Linked DNA regions of Danio rerio. The protein of the gene in region 1 interacts with the protein of each later gene in a pairwise test. Links are inferred from orthologs where the notes say so. Each region holds a gene or a part of one and is shown on either strand. Other genes may lie near its edges.

Region 1 (3,826 bases):
CTGAACTGTGTGTAACGTTAGGCTACTTAATAGTGAGAAAAAAAAAGTCCCAATCAGATAGGCTAATGTCGGCAGCCCCGCCTCCCTTTTCAGATATCTCTGTTTTCCCCCATCCACAGTGAGACGGAGCAGCAGCGTTTTAGAATGAAAACGGCCTCTCTACCGTTTCCAAAATGCTCCATTTTCAGCACTCGAAAACCCTGGCGTAGTGTGGACAGATGGCGTAACCGTAGCAAAACATGCGTTTTAAAACGAAAATGCATTAGTGTAAACGGGGCCTAAAAGTATGCTGATGTGCACATTTTCACACTTTTTTATTACTGAATCTAGCCAGTACTAAAGGAGACAACTAATAATGAATGGAATTTTTTTTAGTTGCGTTCTCCTTACCCCCATCAGGGACAGAGCTTCTCTATTGCTATTTTGGCTTTTGGAGAAGAGGTTTTATGAGCTCTTCTGGATATATTGTTGCTGTGCTTCTTAATGGTGCAGTTTGCCTGCTGCATGCCAACAGCTCTCATGCAGTGTTCTTTTTTTTTTAGACTAATCAGGAGTGGAGTTTTTTTGTTTTGAGCACTTAGTTTTTCAGATTAGTATGCTAGTAAACATTACCAACTACTAGATAAAACTAAATGAAATATATTTCAATTATGTTTTAAGCAATGACCCTCATGAAAACAGATTATACCTGAATACATGAAAGCATACCAAGACACTAAAAACCAACCAAGGCTCATTATTAAAATGTATATTATTTTTGCAGGTTTGTTTTCGCAAATCTACTAGAGGCTGCTGTGTAATCCTTTTCAGATATCAAAGTTTTTTCGCAGGTGCTATTCGCGCATACTGTTCTCGCAGAAATCCACTAGAGTCTGCTGTTGACTGACTGACTGACCGACAGACCGATATCTCCACCCCCCCCTTACCTAAACCAAACCGATAGTGTTTTTAAAAGCACTGATTGACCCGATCACCTAGTTCCCTAAACCCAACTGTCAGTGTTTACAAAAGCATTCCAGCAAAAGATAAGCCCTTGTCCAATTTTTATCACGTTTTCAGATCTTACCACATTCTTACCCTGTTATTTACTTCATTCTTCTTACTACATTACTGGTTATTTACTACATTCTTCATCAGACTCGAACCCCTTGTGTGCAAGCGCCCAAGAGGATGCGACGCTCCGTGTGGAGTGCGCTCTCACCGCTGGGGGACACTGCTTGCTCTGGCTTTGGAAAGTAAAGGAGATGGCATCCACGATCCTGTGGGCCAACCTCTGTTTAGATGTGGCACTTCCCTTTTGCTGACCACCATAACAGACAAAGTGCTGCTCAAAGAATCTAAAGCTCTGAGTGCGATGCACATAAACTTCCAAAGCGCGAACAGAACACCGTAATTAAAGGGCTGGGTCTGCCTCCCCCGTGGGTAGTGCTTGCAGGCTCACTACCTGGTCCTTAAACGGTGTGGTAGGAACTCTCAGGACAACGTGAGAGTAGGCCGGCCCAAATTTCAGGCACGAGTCACTGACTGAAAATGCCTCCAGATCCCTGACCCTCTTGATCGATGCCAACGTGACCAGCAGAGCTGTCTTCAGGGACAGAAATCTCAAGGATACTGAGTCAAGTAGTTTGAACAAATCTTCGTGTATGCTCATAAGCACCACAGCGAGATCCCAAGAGGGCATGAGAGGAAGCGGAGTGAATTTAAGCCACGTAAACTTTCAGTGTGGAGGGCGACAGCCTGCGCTCCAACCTATCCTGAAGTTACCCAAGTCTTTCTCGCTGCATCCAGGGACCATACGTGGAGGTTCCAAAGATCTGGGTGAGGGTGCCAGATGGTGCCCTGTCTTTAGAGAGGAGGTCTTCTCTCAAAGGGATCTGGCAGGCAGGGGTCGTCGCTTCTTTGAAGGTCGACCTGTTTGCTTCCTTGAAGCAAGCCCATATCAGCTGGACGGACTCGGAGTGGAGTCTCCATTCTCCCGGACGTAGAGACTGCCGTGAGAGCGCATCGGCTGCACAGTCGAGCTTGGCGAGCGAGCGGATACGCCACCGTCACTGTGCTGTCCAGCCTGACCAGCACGTGTTCCCCCTCCAGCACTGGTAAAAGACGGCACAGAGCGAGAAATACTGCCAACAGCTCCAGGCATATGATATGCCAATGCAACTGGGTCCTTTTCCGCAGGCCCATGGCTGCATGCCCGTAACACATGGCTCCCCATGCTGGAAGCATCTGTTGAGATGACAACATGCCTGGACGCCTGTCGTAGAACCACTCCGACCTGTAGAAACGCAGGGTCCCTCCAAGGGCTAAGGGTGTGGTGACAGTGCAGTGACAGTTACTTGGTGTGTGCCTGCATGCCATGTGCATCTGGGGACTTGATTATGAAGTCAGTGCTGAAATAGTTTATATGTAGCAGTCCGAGCAGCGTGACAGCAGCTGCGGATGTTGTATGCCCCAGGAGCCTCTGAAAAGATTTCAGGGGAACCATAATTTTCCAGTCGAACTCTCTGTTCTGCCCTCTCCATGCTGCCCTGGTTTAAGTTTAGTTAAGTTAAATATTAAAGTCTCTCTCATTCACACTACGGCCAATTTTGTTTAATCAATTAACTTATACTGCATGTTTTTAGGGGAAACTGGAGCATCTGGAGGAAACTCGCGTGAACACAGGGAGAACATGCAAACTCCACACACAAATGCCAACTGGCCCAGCTGGAAGTCGGACCAGCGACTTTTATTTCTATTACACTTTTTAGAATGTAGATTGTGCAAAAGCAGCTTAACAAGTTCTAGTACAAATCTTCAGTTCAATAGATACAGTTGAAGATCAATTTAGTTCAGTTCAATGTAATGTACTGTAAGTGTCACTGCTGTAAGCCCAAACACTTCACCAATGCACAGATTTTGCACCGAATTCACATTGTATTAAGTGAAAGTATTCAGTTAATATAAACACATTTTGGGATCAAATCTTTTTATCTCTAAATGAGTTTTTCTCTAGCAAAATGTTTTGAGATACATTTTGAAAAATATTGCTGTGCAATGATTTTGTGTGGAGCCAAATTCAAATGACATTTGTTGACGGTAGGTTAAAGGAGATGCAGAAGAAGAAGAACCCGCAATGACAACCATTCTAAAATGGAAACCCAAGGCAATTACTGCGCTTTCTGTTTGGACCACTGAGAGGGACTCAGGTGCTGTCAAATTCATATATTTTATTTATCATTTAATAGTTATGTATTAATATAAAACAATATTAAAACACAGTTATATGTCACTATATAACATTGGTAGTAATTTTGTTGTCCTATATGTAAATAAACAATGCTCTGCATAAATGTAAAGCCCAATTTTGAAAATGTATACATATTTTTTATTCATTTCCCAGTGAAAATAGACAATATATTTTGGTGCATTTACACAAAACAGTTGCATTAAACAGTTATATTCATGAAAAATAAGAGTTTTGTTACTTAACACCTTTAGGAATAACTCAAATGAGTTAATTGCATTAAAAAAAAAGACAAATTAGTTTGGGAGTACTTATTTTTAGACTCTGATATTATTATATTTTTAATTTAATTTAATTTTATTTATAGTTTTCGGCTTTGGCACTGGCTAATCTAATGTATGCACAAATATCATCCTATAGATCATTTCAATGTGGTGATGTCATTGGCCCATAACATTTCCTGCTTGTTATTAAACTATTTCATAACTGTAATGAGGGAATTCAATCATAACTTAATGTTAAAACAGCTATCATAACATTATTTATCAACATGTGACTCATTTTGAATTCTCGAAAGATATAGAAATTAAAAATGTAAAA
Region 2 (4,585 bases), on another chromosome or scaffold:
CTAGAGAAAGAGGTGCGTGGTGCTTGCAGAGCAGATACATGCTAGAGCAGTGGTCCCCAACCCCCGGGCCGCAGACCGGCACCATTCTATAGATCAATTGGTACTGGGCCACACACAAAAAATTATTAATTATTTCAGTTTTATTTATAATCAGAGTCTGAACGATCATTTATTTTGAAAAATCTTTCATTTTGAAAAATGACCGTATTCTCTTGTTACATCTCGGTCACTTGAGTGCCAAAATTGAACCCACAGGCTAGCAAAATGAGTAAGACCTGCAGCACGACGCGCTTGCGTATTCCAGGCCTCCCCAGTTGAAAACATCTTAACTTTTCAGAATGCAGCACCGCGAGTCATGTGACAAGAACTGACTGATAAAATATTTTGTATGGAATATAATTTCGTTGAATGAATGACTCTGTCTCATTTTCGAACTGTGCAGTGCTTTAGCTGCTTAATTTAGCCCACTAGGCTCCTTTATTTCAATACTGTTGATTATGGTGGTACTTGGAGAGACCATTTTTTTCTGAGGTGGTACTTGGGGAAAATACTTTGAGAACCACTGGTCTAGCCCATGTCTACTACATAAGTTACTATAGTAATTTCCATGCGTGTTAAAAAACTCATCTTTGGCTTATATACAATATTTTTATATCAGATACAATATTAAATGTTTATTACATGGAAGTCCAAAATAATTGAAATAATACCAGAGTACTATCATGAATTGTGTCCCAAAAACCTAGTACTCCCATGGTAATTTACTTTAAAAGGCACTTTTTCCAAGGCATTCAAACCCCTGGAGCTTCATGAACTTTCTCTCATTCATTTTGAGCTTCATCATACTGTAATCTGACCTTGATATCAAGAATAGATCATTTTAACAGTTAAGCAATAACTCTTGGTTAACATCTAACCTAGTTTAACCAGTTACATTCGTGAAGCATTATCAGAATTACATCAGTAACACACCGAGTTCATTAAAACCGAGCAGATGTACAAAAACAATGCTTATTATTTTGTATTCTACTATATATAATATAGAAAGCTGATACAGATTTAATACACATGTACAGTAACAATAGAAATCAGTTCATCTGATGAGCTAAAGCCCGCTAGCCGCATCATAAACATCCCAAACACACACGACTGCTTCTTTAATGACTCATTAACTCATATTTTGGTTAACGACGCACAAATATAACGTTTATCCGTTCAGCTCAAACCTGTAATTGCTGATATTCTTGCTCTATTTCTGTCCATTCACTTTGACATCTCTCCAGTGACATTGTACCCGTCCGCGTTAGCGCTGCTGTGCCGCTTAACTGCCGCTAGTAGGCGCTCCAGCCATTTATATAAGCTCCGCTTCCACCACGTCAGCCAATCACAGCCGAGCATTAGGTTCAGAGGATGACATCGCCATCTGACGACCGGGAGAGTCAGCGAAAATAAACATTAGAGAGTTCGTTGCTTGGTTACAGTACACTAATTATTTTTAAGAGGTTTAGTCGAGATCGACCATTGCTTGACAATTAAAGTTGATTTTCGTAGATAAATGGTTGATTTGGGTTTTTTTAAGCGGTCTGGACTGTAAAGGTAAGTGTTGACTATGATTTATTTACTATATTTACACGTTTTAAATGCAAAAAAGCTCTAGTATTCACCATATCTTTTTGTTTAATAGCCTTTGGTGAATATAGGGTATTATAAACACATCTGTTTACACTTTGTTATTCTTCCCAAAAAGCTTTTAATAAATAAATATTTAAGTAAATACCACGAAATTTGTGCATTTGAATAAAATTGTGTTTATTATATACCTCTTTAACATCGGTAGAATTAAGGCAGTAGAAATTGTACCGCATTTCTGTCATACACAAGCATTACTCTAATACACTACATTACTATAACCATTTAATATTTCTTATAAAATGAGCATTACGGAGTTTGCATGTTCTCCCTGAGTTCGCGTGGGTTTCCTCCGGGTGCTCCGGTTTCCCCCACAGTCCAAAGACATGCGGTACAGGTGAATTGGGTAGGCTAAATTGTCCGTATTGTATGAGTGTGTGTGTAAATGTGTGAGTGGACGATTCCCAGAGATGGGTTGCAGCTGGAAGGGCATCCGCTGCGTAAAAACTTGCTGGATAAGTTGGTGGTTCATTCCGCTGTGGCGACCCCGGATTAATAAAGGGACTAAGCCGACAAGAAAATGAATGAATGAATGAATGAAAATGAGCATGTACACTACCTGACAAAAGTCTTGTCGACTATTCAAGTTTTAAGAACAGCAAATAATAACGTGACTTCTAATTGATCATTTAGTATCAGAAGTGGCTTATATGAAAGTCAAAGGCCTCTAGATGACGCTTATTTGACCACAATAAAATATGATCATGCCTTGATTATTAATGATTTCTTTAGGACAGTAAGGTCTGACTCTGCTTAGAAAAAAAGTCTCATCACTGAATAGAAATAATGTCCAGTCTAGAATATAAAGTCCTGCTGCAGTGGAGACAGCATGAATATTGTGTCTGACTCCATCATGAGTTTGGAGGACTGCATCCATACATCTCTGACATGACTCAAATCACTGATTAATAAAGTCATCTGGAACGGCAAAGAAAGCGTTCCTGCAGGACTCCCAGAGTTCATCAACACTCTTTGTGTTCATCTTCAATGCCTCCTTCATCTTACCCCAGACATGCTCAATAATGTTCATCTCTGGTGACTGGGCTGGCCAATCCTGGAGCAGCTTGACCTTCTTTGCTTTCAGGAACTTTAATGTGGAGGCTAAAGTATGCAAACGACGTTTGTAATGTAATGGGCAGCACAAATGTCTTGATACCTCAGGCTGTTGATGTTGATCATCCACTCTGCAGATCTCTCGCACCCCCCATACTGAATGTAACCCCAAACCATGACTTTTCCTTCACCAAACTTGACTGATTTCTGTGAGAATCTTGGCTCCATGCGGGTTCCAGTAGCTCTTCTGCAGTATTTGTGATGATTGGGATGCAGTTAACAGATGATTCATCAGAAAAAAAAAACACCTTCTGACACTTTCACAAATGATCAACTAGAAGTTATTTGTTGCTCTTACAACTGGGATCAACAACAAGACTTTGTCAGGTAGTGTATATCTGTCCCTCTTTTCAATAAGAGTTTTAAAACAAAACATTTCCCACATAAAAAAATAATATAGTAACTTTTAGTAAACACTAAAGTGTTTTTGAACCATACTATTTCAAATTGTATTATACTGATCTGAAAAACTAATGAATACTATAGTATACTTTAGTTTTTGCTACAGTAAATTGTGAGGTATTGCATAAATTACTCTGTAGTTGAAAACTATTTGTTTATATTATTATAAATGTGGTGGCACGGTGGATGAATGGTTAGCTATGTCGCCTCACAGCAAGAAGGTCGCTGGTTCGAGTTCTGTTTGTGTCAGCTGGTAGAATGTTGGAGGCTGGAGGAGTTTGCATGTTCCGTGTTGGCGTGGGTTTCCTTCTGGTGCCCCCCACAGTCCAAAGACATGCGGTACAGGTAAATTGGGTAGGCTAAATTGTCCATAGTGTATGAGTGTGTGTGTGTGTTAACCCTAACCCGGAGGAAACCCACACGAACGCAGGGAGAAGATGCAAACTCCACACAGAAACGCCAACTGAGCCGAGGCTCGAACCAGTGACCCAGCAACAGCACTACCCACTGCGCCACTGCTTCACCTACCACATACAGTTGAAGTCAGAATTATTAGCCTCCCTGAATTATTAGCGCCCCTGTTTATTTTTTCCCCCAATTTCTGTTCTGTTCTGGGAAGATTGTTTCAGCACATTTCTAACCATAATAGTTTTAAAAACTAATTTCTAATAACTGATTTATTTTATCTTTGTCATGATGACAGTAAATAATATTTGACTAGATATTTTTCAAGACACTACTATTCAGCTTAAAGTGACATTTAAAGGCTTAACTAGGTTAATAAGGTGAACTAGGCAGGTTAGGGTAATTAGTCAAGTTACTGTAAAACGATGGTTTGTTCTGTAGATTAATGAAAAAATAAGTTAAAGGGGCTAATAATTTTGTCCCAAAAATGTTTTTTTTTTTTATTAATAACTGCTTTTATTCTAGCCGAAATCAAACAAATAGGACTTTCTCCAGAAGAAAAAATATTATCAGACATACTGTGAAAATTTCATTGCTCTGTTAAAAACCATTTGGGAAATATTTTAAAAAGAAAATCAAAATCAAAAGGGGGCGAATAATTCTGACTTCAACTGTACATCATTTGTGTATTACTTAAACTTATTTCTTCTTTTACTTATCTCTTCTTTTTACACGAAACATATTTTATCCTTTTGGCATCTTTGACATATTATTTGTTCGATTCCATGTGTATCTTTACATTTTATAACATAGACCCCCAAAAAATCAGTACTGCAAACAGCCATTAATTAAAATGTCATCATACCTTTCTCATTTGATGATTTGAAGTTCATCAAGACTCTTTGGATTCATCTTCAATGCCTCCTCCTTCATCTTACCCCAGACATGCTCAATAATGTTCATCTCTGGTGACTGG

The links.
Region 2: the proteins of rsph1 (region 1) and morn3 interact in binary tests that used the Homo sapiens proteins (3 or more experiments, as listed by UniProt). The two-hybrid records come from large-scale screens. The link is inferred for Danio rerio from reciprocal best matches to the Homo sapiens genes RSPH1 and MORN3.

What each region holds. Positions count from the first base shown.
Region 1 is NC_133184.1:18,425,817-18,429,642, reverse strand, and holds part of rsph1 (radial spoke head 1 homolog), read left to right. Parts: intron 1-3,082; coding exon 3,083-3,188; intron 3,189-3,826.
Region 2 is NC_133185.1:47,157,458-47,162,042, reverse strand, and holds the start of morn3 (MORN repeat-containing protein 3), read left to right. Parts: upstream 1-1,477; 5' UTR 1,478-1,596; intron 1,597-4,585. Other genes in the region: tmem120b (transmembrane protein 120B), read right to left, coding at 1,227-1,289. UniProt on the Homo sapiens protein: Assembles a suppression complex (suppresome) by tethering SIRT1 and MDM2 to regulate composite modifications of p53/TP53.